Canis lupus familiaris: one gene and its partners. The protein of the gene in region 1 purifies or fractionates together with the protein of each later gene. This does not show direct contact. Links are inferred from orthologs where the notes say so. Each region holds a gene or a part of one and is shown in the gene's direction. Other genes may lie near its edges.

Region 1 (4,216 bases):
CTGCTAAGTGCCCAGTGCCCAAATAATGGCATTGGGATACATATACGTACACTGTGTTACATATTTGGCAATGCCTGGAGACATTGTCACATCTGGGGTGCGGATACTACTGGTATGTAGTTGGTAGAAGCCTGGGGATGCTGCTAAACATCCCACAATGCATGGGACAGCCCCCCATACTAAAGAATTATCTGGCCCAAAAAAGCCAACAGGGCTAAGACTGAGAAACCTTTGTTAGACCTTTAGCAACCACCATGAGCAAAGCAGGCATGGTCCCTGCCCTCCTAGTATCATGAGGAAATGTTTAAAATATAATAATGTGTGAGGGGCACCTGGGTAGCTCAGTGGTAGAGCATCTGCCTTTGGCTGGGGTCTTGGTACCGAGATCCTAGGATCCAGTCCTGCATCAGGCTCCACGACGGGAGCCTGCTTCTCCCTCTATGTCTCTGTGTCTCTCATGAGTAAATAAAATCTTAAAAACATATATATAATATAATAATGTATTGAAGGAATTCAGAGAAAGACACTAGAGTCTTGCTAAAGTTCAGCCCATAGACTTGAAGCATGGCATCACCGGGAAGCAGGCTAAAACTGCACAGTATCAACCCCCGGCCTCCTAGTGAATGAAAATCTGCATTTTAACGGGACCCTCAGGTGACTACGATGCATATTAATGCTGGAGACACCCTGCACTGGGGGTTTCCAGAAGACAGAACGTGGGCTATTTTTCCTTGTTTAATGAAGACCGGGAAAGAAGGAAGCAAATTCCGGGTGTTGAGAGGTATATAAAGAAGATCCCGAAACGGGCAAGGAGGAATTTCTATTCAATCCAACATAGCGTTTGCCTGCTTACCGCCAGGCATCGTGCTAAGCTCTCTAAATGGAGTATTTCACAGAATCCTCGGAACGCTATTGGGTAGGTCCATCTTATGGGTGAGCAGACCAAGGTACAGAGGTTAGATAACTTGCTCCGGGACCCACTGACTGTCTACCGTGCGGAGTCGTCCACGAACACCTCCACCCACACGGACGAGCCAAAGTCACGGCCCCAGCCCTCCCCACCCAGCAAAAAGCCGATCATGCCAGCCTGTCGTCCTCTCTCTTTTTTTAAGATTTTATTTATCCATGAGAGACACACACACACAGAAGCAGAGACACAGGCAGCGGGAGAAGCAGGCTCCACGCAGGGAGCCCGACGCGGGACTCGATCCTCGGTCTCCAGGATCACGCCCCAGGCTGAAGGCGACGCTAAACCGCTGCGCCACCCGGGCCGCCCCAGTCCTCCTCGAACTCGCGCCGCCAACCGGAAGTCGGAGGAGCGGCGCGCCCTCCACACCGGAAGTCGCAGATGCAACTTGGGAAGCGTTTCCTTGTTTATAAGCCTTGCCACCAGTGTTCAACGAATATAGTAAACGAAGAGAGCGGCTTATGAAGATGACACGGATCCTAAAGTGCTTGGAAGCTCTGTGCAACTTCGGCCGGAATCTGTGTTAGCGGCAGCTAACGGCGCCAGCTGTCGGGGGCGGTCCTCCGAGGGCTAGAAGACCCATCTCTATGGTCAAGCAAACCGAGAGCGGTCCTCTCTCCCCCACGTGGTGGGGCTGCGCATGAGCAGTAGCCGCTGCTCGGGAAACATGGCGGAGCAAGAGTGAGTGTTCGGGCTTTGAATCTCAGTGGGGTCTTGAGCATCTGGTGCCATCCACGGTGTTTATTCCTCCGCGGCGCGAATAGAAGGGTTCTTGTGGACTGAAGGAAGGACAAGAGAAAAGACTCCAGATTTCAAAGGGTGGGATGAGGAGTAAAGCCGTAGGGTTCGGGCTGACGGTCAGACGGAGGAAGCCGCCGTCAAGCCCGAGTTACCTGGAGCGGCGGCGGCGGGCTGAAGAGTGCCGGACTTGGGTTCGCTCAGCCTGACGCAAGTACTACCCCTGCAGATGAGTCTACACCCATCCTAACCCCTCGGGGTTTCTCTAGAATCACGTAGCTGCTAGTGTCTTTAAAAGGCTGTGGCAGTAAAAGCTCCATGGAGGCCTAGGGAGGGCCAGTGGCCCCAGGGTTCGTGACCTTTCACTGCTTTAGGAACGAGGGTTCCCTCGTTAAGGGGTCCATCTTGAGGACTGAAGTCAGAAACCACAGGTTTCAGGGAAGTCTGGCTTTAGGAATTTGAAGAGAGTAAGGTTTCTCGAAGCCCAAGAGATGATTCAGAATTTCATTTATGATTTGCTTTTTAGACACTTTCGCTGATTGCGATTTTCTTATCAGGCAAAGAAAAAAGATCCCTTTGGTTCCAGAAAATCTCCTGAAAAAGAGGAAGGCTTATCAGGCCCTTAAAGCCACTCAAGCAAAGCAGGCGCTTTTGGACAAGAAGGAGGTAATGATGGGGAACCAAGAGAGGGGAATTGGAATGTGTGTTTGGTGAGTTCTGTGTAGGGTGTGTTAAACTAGATTTGGCGTCGTCGACGGTGCTGTCGCCATCAATTCTAACAGGTGTACGGTTCGTGTCTTCGTTTAACAGGTGTTTATGAAACGCTTTCTGCAGGTAAAATGCAGTAGAGTTTGGTAAGGAAAAAGTGGAGTGGAGATTGTACTATAGGTTCATACCAAGTGATTTGAAAGACCACACATGCTTGTGTACCTGGAAGAAAATAATATTATACTTAAAGGTGCCAAACAGTTTTTTGCTATTTGCTAAACGTTTTTGGAAAACAGATATTTTGAAGTCAGGAAAATGAAACAAGCTCATGCTTATTCTGTACCTCATGATGCTTAACCCAATGTTAGGTTCCATAAATATGTGTTGGTAAACGCTGGCTAACAGCATGTAAATTAACTTGTTTATTTATCAGAGGCTTTTCCTAGGAGTTTCAGAGTTTTCACACTTCCATCTTCACTTGGGTACCTCATTTTTCCTTTAAATAGAATAGAAGGTGTTTGTTTGCTTAGGTTTGCGGGACATAATGGAAAATACATTCAATCGAGAGTGCCTGATGAATTACTATTGTAGAAGTAAAAAATAGAGGCACAAAATGGTGATGATGGTCTCCCTTCTTTCAGCAGAATAAAGGAAAAAAGCTCAAGTTTAAGCGACTGGAGTGGTTCCTTCATGATTCCTGGCGGCAGCAGCGTGACAGGGTGCGCCTCAGACGCCTGGAAGTGAAACCTCATGGCTTAGAAGTGCCAGATAAACATTCCTTGGCCTTCATTGTACGCATCCAAAGGTGGGGAACTTGCCACATTCCCAAGGCTGAAGCAAATTGTTGGTTCAGCTTTAGACTCCTTTCTGGGGGAAGTGAGTTATAATAGGCTTTAAGCCACTCGGGCAAGTTGTGCTGGGAATTCAGGGTCAAGCACAACGTGGTTTTTGTCTTTAAGGTTTTAGGAGAGTGACCTTAGGCAAACAGACATGAAAATACACCCAGTGCTGTGAAGGTTGACTGTTGTTGGAGCAGTACTGGTTCAGGACACTCTAAAACAGGGCCTTGAAGCTGAGACCTGCAAACATGGAAGGAATTCACAAATTTCAAGGAAGGCTTTCCAGGCATAGATGCAGAAAGTCCTGAATTGAGAGAATCAAGGCTTCTTTCTAGGAACTGAACCAAGGTCAAGTAAATGGAACGTATTTAGTGCTGGGGAGAGTTCATAAAGCTTTTTTCTCACTTAATTGTACTTTACCCAGTCTACCTGCATGTACAGCTGCCTCCCTCTTTCCAGTACCCAGGCACCCAAACCAGAAAAGTGTGTGCTTTAAATATTTTTGAGTCCTCGTTATTAACCTTCCTACCATTTCTCATAATTTCTTTCCTGGACTGTCGCATTAGCTTCCTGAGTTTCCCTGCCTCTGATGTCACACTTTCAGATCTGTCTTATATGCTCTCCTCAGTGATCATAAAGAAGAAAGGTGATTGTGTTTCCTTTCCCTAAAGTCTTTGTGCTGTTACTGCCCAGGCAGCAAGTCCAGCTTCCTTTGCTTGACGTTCACAGCCCTACACACACACTCACACACCCCCAACACACACTGAATCAGGGCCTCCCTCTGTGTTCTTATAGCACCTCAGGCATTGCTCCACATCATGTGAGAATGATTGTTTACATAGCTGCCACCTCCTGACCTGTTAGACATAGTCTGTGTCTTGCTCTCTTGATGCCCTGTAGTGGCAAACATTTTATAGTTGCTTGCTGGCCTTACGTAAACTGAATAAAGCCTGACGTCCTCTGC
Region 2 (3,226 bases), on another chromosome or scaffold:
GGTGGGAATGGTCACCCTTGCGTGTGCAATCTAGCCTTGAGGCCTCGATGTGACGACACTAGAGGTTGCTGGTGGGCGAAGTGGGGGGAGCTGGGCAGGGATGTCTGGGTTTCCATTTCCTACTCCTTGGAAATGTTCCTTACTAAATGTTCCATGATGAACCTACTACTTCCTCGACATGGGGGGAAAAAAGTTAGTACTCATTATACCTGGGTTGTATGTTTGTAATTGACGTCCTTGTTGTTTACTTGTAGTTCTTAATTTCTGGATAATGAGCTCATCCTGTAACTAAAAAGAAAAGCAGGGTGCCATGCTGGGCAAACAGCAGGAGTAGCTGGGCCGTTGGGTGCCCCCCCCCCACCCCCAGCTGTACCAGCACCTCCACTGACCAGCGTGCCTGGCCTGTTCTCTGCCTTTTTATTTATTTATTTATTTTTAAAAGATTTTATTAATTTATTCATGAGAGACACAGAAAGAGGCAGAGACATAGGCAAAGGGAGAAGCAGGCTCCATTGCAGGGAGCTTGATGTGGGACTCCATCCCAGGACTCCAGGATCACGCCCTGAGCTAAAGGCAGACGCTTAACCACTGAGCCACCCAGACGTCCCTGTTCTCTGCCTTTTAGAGAAGACATCTGGTTTGATGATGTTGACCCCGCGGATATTGAAGCAGCCATGGGCCCAGAAGCAGCCAGGATAGCAAGACAGCAGCTGGGGCAGAGCGAGAGCAGCACCACGCTGGTGAAGGAGCAGGCCTTCGGCGGGTATGCACACAGGGCCGGGGCCCCTGGCAGCACTGAGCCCAAAAGGGCAAGGGTTTGGGGAAGGAGCTCTGTCCTCCCCGACTTGAATCAGGCAGGCGCCACCCTGTCCTGCGAGGAGCGTTGAGCGCAGAGAGCTGGTCCCTCGAGCAGTGGTGAGGGGCGGAGAACTTTAGGTGCCGATTGCTGGGTCCTGCCGTGTTGGTTAAACTGGAATCTTTGGTTCCTTTCAGCCTGACGAGAGCCTTAGCCATGGACTGTGAGATGGTGGGCGCGGGCCCCAAGGGGGAAGAGAGCGTCGCTGCCCGAGTGTCTATTGTGAACCAATATGGGAAGTGTGTTTATGACAAGTACGTCAAGCCCACCCAGCCGGTGACGGACTACAGGACGGCGGTCAGCGGGATCCGGCCAGAAAACCTCAAGCAGGGTGGGTCCTCCCAGCTCATGAGCACAGAGGAGAAGCAATGCCTGAGTCCCTTCTCCCTTTTTTTTTTAAGATTTTATTTATTTATTCATGAGAGAGAGAGAGAGGCAGAGACACAGGCAGAGAGAGGGGCAGGCTCCATGCAGGGGGCCGAACGTGGGACTCAACCCTGGATCTCCAGGATCACACCCTGGGCCGATGGCAGGCGCTAAACCACTGGGCCACCCGGGCTGCCCTCCCTTCTCCCTTTTTATTTTGTTAAGTAACCTCTTTACTTAGTGTGGGGCTTAAACTCACGAACCCAAGATCGAGTTGCACACTCCAGCAACCAAGCCAGCCAGGTACCCCCTCTTTTTCTCTATGTCCCCTTTCTTTTGGGAGCATTCGCCACAGCAAGAGTCCCGAGGGGTGACCCATTTTCAGATGGCTCTTGGGCACATTTGTGTCCCTGCCTCTGTGTCACCCAGAGAGTATATGCTGGTGAGGGGGGCAGGAGAGCAGGTAGACCCTACAGGGTCTCGTCTTTGTGAGGATTTTCGGAAGCCATGCAAAGGTCTGAGCAGTGAGAGGCCCAGCTCAGCTTCTAGCAGGTTCCTTCTGGCTGTGGTGTCGAAAATAGACTCCTAGGCCCATGAGGGTGGAAATAGGAAGAGGAGGCATGTGCTAGTGGTGACCTGGTGGGGGGGCGGCCCGAACCCAGATGCACCCTGAAGGCAGAGTCTGTAGGTTTTCTGATGGATTGGGTGTGGGGGAGGAAGAACAGAAAGGCCCCCAGGGTGACTCCGAGGTTAGGGACCTGGAGAGGTCCTGGAAGCTTTCAGGATCGAGGTCACTGTCCCTTCTGCCCCATGCAGTCTCCTTTCTGCAGCTCTCAGGTTCCCTCTGTACATCCAACCAACAAGTGGTGCTGCAGCCTGACCAGCCCCTCAGCTCCAGGCCCTGACAGGTCCTGCTCAAGGTGGGCTGCCCCTGATCTCATCTCCTCTGTTGGGGACAGGCGGGGTCACGGGGTGACCCGACCCTTCCCTTGGAGGAGGGGGCGGGGTGACCCCAAGGGCATCTGCTAGGAGAGCAGGCACGCTGCTCCCTGTGGGGCTGAGTGTCTGGAGCAGCACTCCTCACCATCCGTGGTAAAGGACCATTTTTGTTTTTATTTCCAGTTGGAAAGCTTGAAATCCCAGCCTGATTCTTACAAGATTCAACAGTTAAAATTATTGTTGGGTGGCCCTGAGTGCTTCTGAAAGCCCACCCTCGTCCACGTTGCTAAAAACCACTTCTTCGTTCTGCTTGTCAGGAGAAAAATTCGAAGTCGTTCAGAAGGAGGTGGCAGACATGCTGAAGGGCCGCATTCTGGTCGGACATGCGCTGCATAACGACCTGAAGGTACTGCCGCCTGCTGCGTGCACGCCTCATGCCGTGGAGGGGCTTGTAGGCCATAGTCACAGTACCAGGTGCAACTTAGCGAGTTCTTCCCCCGTCCTGGGAGTAGTGCTAGGCATTTTTCAGTTCTTTAAAAGGCGTCTGAGGCCTTCATGCTCCTGTTGTAGGCGCTGGAAGCAAGGTGCTGTGGGTTATGCGACATGCCCACTGCTCAAGCACATTACATGGAGGGGAGCCAGGCTGCTGCCTCTGCAGCTTCCACCCAACTGGCCAGGCCTGGGACTCCACAGAGGTCAGAGCGCCGTCTGTGGGGAAGCGTCCCCTAGGGCCACTCCCCCCACAGCCACTGGGCCGTCTGGGGCTCCTCTTATCTCCCCAGAAGGGGCCACTTCTGGTGCCCCAGAGGCTGTGACATCCAGCCTCTGCTCCTTGAGGGTCTCTGCTATGGGAGGAACTGAGCCACCTTAGATGAAAGCAGCAGGGCAGGCAGAGTGGGAGGCTGCCCTTTCTGGGCATGGCGTTTCCATGGAACCCTGGGGTTCTCAGACATTTCAGGCACGCTGGAATGTCAGCCTGTGTTGCCTTTTGAAATTTTGAAGTATTGAAACTGCTGGCAGGTCCTCTGCCCACTGCAATGCGGTGCTACAGACCCTTAGTGGCCA
Region 3 (4,308 bases), on another chromosome or scaffold:
CATGCCTCCCCCCCCCCTCCCCCACGACCAAGACAATTTTGTATAAGGACAGAAATGAAGAGAGGACATCAAGTTTCTGGGTCTTGTTACCATTCGGGCCAGGGGACAAACTTCCAGCCAAGAGGCAGGCTTTTCCTCCCCATAGAGCTGCCACAAGGTAGAAGATTGCAGCCTGAGCAATCGACGTGAAAGTGTTCCAGTAAGACCATACTCCTTGAAAAGCCCTTAAATGAAAGTAAAGGAAGAGAAGAGAAAGCACTTAGCAAGTTTGCACCCAAGCTCGGAGTCCAGATGAGGAAGACCCAGGCTGCATGTTGGGACAGCAAAATGATGTGAGCTGTTGGGGTCTCCAGGATCAGGCCCTGAGTGAAAGGCAGATGCTCAACCGCTGAGCCACCCAGGCGTCCCTAAGGTTGCCTTTTTGCCTCTAGCAAAATGTTAACGTTGAGGCAGCTGAGTTCCTGGAGGAAGGTCACCCTGTCTGTCCCAAGTACTTGTCAATGGGCTGTACATTATACGGAAATTTAGGTTTTTTTCCTGTATTTCTTTCGCCTTTGGTCTCCACATCACACACCATCCAAAGGTGGGGTGAAGATTTGTATAATCCTCATAATTATCCTTTGAGGAACACAATATGGAAAGTAAAGCTCAAACATGCTGAATGTACATTTAAAATATACCACAGGGACGCCTGGGCGGCTCAGTGGTTGAGCGTCCGCCTTCAGCTCAGGGCGTCAGGCGCCCCTGGGGAAGCTGCTTCTCTCGGCCTAGGTCTTTCTCTCTCTCTCTCTCTCTCTCTCATTCTCATGAATAAATAAATAAAATCTTTAAAATATATATATACCAGAGTTCTATAGCTCTGCTTCGCCTTTTGTCATTTGTCACTTCACCGCTAAGGCTCGCGACAGAAAAGTGGCCTCTAGGGTTACCATGCTTCTCTGAGGAAAAAATTCTGCTTTTGATCTGCTTCATCCCCCTAAGAGCCAATGAACCAAAGGCAAAGCCCCCGGCCGCCCCCGGAAAACACAACCCAGCCTCAGTCAGCGCCCCCGGCGGCCGCTTTTCCTCGGGAGGAGCCTCGTTCCCACGGTGCCTAGCAACCGTTACCGTGACAACACGACCGGCGCTCGCGCACCTCCCAGCGAGGCTGTCGTCTGCATCCCAGAAGGTACTGCGCTGTCGCCAAGCCTTCCGCCCCCCTGCATCCCAACATGCAACGGGGTTCTATTAAAAATCAAGCGAGCGTCCCCAGGATGGTTATAGGAACGCCTGAATATCTGTGTTCGTTTAAACATGAAAACTGACTGTCATATGTTCACAGACGAGAAAGAACTCTAAAGAGAGGCCTCGGTGATCTTTTTCAGAAAGCTCAGTTGTAAGTTTTCGAGGAGGAAAGCCAAATATTTCCCAAGACTCGTTCAGGCACATCATCGGGCAGCCCGCAAGGCCCGCGGCGTGGGGGCCTCGGGGCCCTAGGCAGGGCACGTGCGAGAGGAAGTGGCGCTGTCAGTCCGCGCGGCGCTGGTAGACCCTTCAACGTGGAGCTATGGGAGGCCTGGAGAAGAAGAAGGTGAATGAGGCGGTATCCCCGGCGGGGTGGCGCTGGGGAGAGGGGGGCCGGGCGGGAGATGGGAGCGAGGGAGCCAGGGGACTGGACCTTTCCCGGCCGTGGCCCCTCAGGTGTTCAGAAACGGCTGTGACCTATGCGATGAGAGGCAACTATGAGAAAGGGTGCGAGGATGGGCGAGGGTGGCAGTACTCGTCCGATGAAGTCCGGGAAAGAACCTTGGAGTAGGGCTGTAAATGTTGGGAGTTGCGAAGGAAAGCTTCACTCCAAATGCAGACCGGGCCGGAAGACAACTGTTTACTGAAACAATAATAAACGTTACGTAAACTTTACTATTCCGTCAAGTTGATGATCTCCAAAACTCGTTATTCCCTTCCCTGTTAAACCTGCCCTGGATGCTGGGGAGGGAAACATAAACAGTCAGATGTGGCCCCTGCCTTCCCCGAGCTCACTTTCTAGCGAGGAAAGAGGGTTAACACTGAACAACCAAATGAAACGATCACAGATTGTTAAATGTGATATGAAAGAGAAGAGCGGAGAATATAGAAGAATACTTACGTCGGTTAGTGTCGTGTTGGAAGGTCTCTCTAACTCAACGTTTGGGCTGAAATCCGAAAGATCAGAAGATCTCAGATGGGTTCTGGGGCCTGGGAGTTCTTAGCGAGCAAACCTGACGGAAAACTCCCTAGCAAGACTGTTAGGTGGGAAAGGCTTTCTGTGTGCAGAAAATTAGAAGGACATCAAGGTGGTTGGGGTATGGTAAACCAAGGGAAGAATGGCATTTGTTGAGGTTAAGGTTAGACAGGGACCAGATGTGGAAGGCCTGGGAGCCAACGTGAGGAGCTTGGTTTTTATTCCAAGTGCAGAAAGCTTCAACTAAAGGGGAAGTACCATGGTCGTTTTTTCAAAGATTTGTTTGTTGCTGTATGGAGGATCACCTTAGTGGTATGAAAAGATTGGGGAAGGGGTGAAAGTGAGGAAGATGCAGTTGCCTCGTGTTTCCTTCAGATTGTAAGTTTCTGTTGTTTATGTTTAACCCAGCACGCTGTTGAACAACCAGTAAGTGCTAGTGTCTGGAATTACAAATATATAAGATGGAGGGATGCCTGGGTGGCTCAGCCGTTGAGCATCTGCCTTCGGCCTCAGGGCATGATCCTGGAGTTCCAGGACTGAGTCCCACAACCGGCTCCCTGCAAGGAGCCTGCTTCTTCCTCCACCTATGTCTCTGCCTCTCACTCTGTGTCTCTCATGAATAAATAAATAAAACCCTCTAAAATAAATAAATAAGATGGATAATCTTCCCTTGCAGCATGGATGCAGCTATGTATACAAACCACGACAGGGTTTTTTTTTTTTTTTTTTTTTTTTTTTTTTTTTTTAAGATTTTACTTATTTGAGAGAGAGCATGAGCAGGGAGGTAGAGGAAGAAGCAGGCTCCCTGCCGAGGAGGGAGCCTGGCATGGGGCTCTGTCCCAGGACCCTGGATCATGTCCCAAGTCAAAGGCAGATGATTAACTGACTGAGTCACCCAGGCACCTCAGATCATGACAGGTTTTTTTTTGTTTTGTTTTGTTTTTAAGATTTTTATTTATTTATTCATAAGAAATATAGAGAGAAAGAGAGGCAGAGACACAGGCAGAGGGAGAAGCAGGCTTCATGCAGGGAGCCCGACGTGGGACTCGATCCCAGGTCTCCAGGATCACACCCTGGGCTGAAGGCAGGCACTAAACCGCTAAGCCACCCAGGCGTCCCCATGACAGTTTTTAATGCTGGGTTTCACAAGCATTTTGAGCCAGATAATGCTTTGTTGTAGAGTGCTGTCCTGTGCATCATAGGGTGTTTAGTAACATCTTGACCTCTTACACACTAGATGCCAATGGCACTCAACAATCCAAAATGCCTAATTCCCTTCCCTCCATCCCATACACAGCCAGGGAGTAAAACCATCCCAGTTGAGAACTACTTAACCACTTGATATTTAAAATAATAAGCATGATGACAGACACATATGTGATGTAAGGCTATGGGAAACACTTTTAATGAACAGTTAGCTTTCTGAGACAGACTGAAGCTCATCTTTGTATCTCCAGTAAACAATGTCTGGAGGAAAGAATAAATGGTGTATTTTGTGACAGGTAGCAGTAAGACAGCGAAGGGTTATAAACATACTTTCGGCTTGAAGCTCGGCCGCCATCATGAACTACACAGTAACTATCCAGACCAGGAAGTTCATGACCAACCAACTGCTTCAGCGGAAACAGATGGTCATTGATGTTCTTCTCTCCGGGAAGGCAACAGTACCTAAGACAGAAATTTGGGAAAAACTAGCCAAAATGTACAAGACCACACCAGATGTCATATTTGTATTTGGATTCAGAACCCATTTTGGTGGTGGCAAGACAACTGGCTTTGGCATGATTTATGATTCCTTGGATTATGCAAAGAAAAATGAACCCAAACATAGACTTGCAAAACATGGCTTGTATGAGAAGAAAAAGACTTCAAGAAAACAGCGCAAAGAACACAAAAACAGAATGAAGAAAGTCAGGGCGACTGCAAAAGCCAACGTTGGTGCTGGCAAAAAGTGAGCTGGAGATTGGACAACAGAAGGAGTAAAGATTCTGCAGTGGCTTTATCTGTGGTGATCGTGCAGATTTTTCATGAGAGGATTAATAAACTAAGAACGTTAAAAAAAAATAAACATACTTTCAAGGGGCTATAGGTTTCTCTCTTTAGAGCTG

The links.
Region 2: the proteins of RPL7L1 (region 1) and REXO4 purify together in Homo sapiens (affinity purification with mass spectrometry; 3 studies listed by BioGRID and IntAct, with this or other methods). This does not show direct contact. The link is inferred for Canis lupus familiaris from reciprocal best matches to the Homo sapiens genes RPL7L1 and REXO4.
Region 3: the proteins of RPL7L1 (region 1) and PES1 purify together in Homo sapiens (affinity purification with mass spectrometry; 4 studies listed by BioGRID and IntAct, counting the BioPlex papers as one, with this or other methods). This does not show direct contact. The link is inferred for Canis lupus familiaris from reciprocal best matches to the Homo sapiens genes RPL7L1 and PES1.

The regions. Positions count from the first base shown.
Region 1 is NC_049233.1:11,631,448-11,635,663, forward strand, and holds the start of RPL7L1 (60S ribosomal protein L7-like 1), read left to right. Parts: upstream 1-1,341; 5' UTR 1,342-1,607; coding exon 1,608-1,648; intron 1,649-2,262; coding exon 2,263-2,371; intron 2,372-3,054; coding exon 3,055-3,218; intron 3,219-4,216.
Region 2 is NC_049230.1:49,885,862-49,889,087, reverse strand, and holds part of REXO4 (RNA exonuclease 4), read left to right. Parts: intron 1-625; coding exon 626-763; intron 764-993; coding exon 994-1,187; intron 1,188-2,478; coding exon 2,479-2,567; intron 2,568-3,226.
Region 3 is NC_049247.1:24,078,718-24,083,025, reverse strand, and holds the start of PES1 (pescadillo homolog), read left to right. Parts: upstream 1-1,459; 5' UTR 1,460-1,546; coding exon 1,547-1,570; intron 1,571-3,747; exon of another isoform or gene 3,748-3,762; coding exon of another isoform or gene 3,763-4,155; exon of another isoform or gene 4,156-4,170; intron 4,171-4,308. Other genes in the region: 40S ribosomal protein S24-like, read left to right, coding at 3,763-4,155. UniProt on the Homo sapiens protein: Component of the PeBoW complex, which is required for maturation of 28S and 5.8S ribosomal RNAs and formation of the 60S ribosome.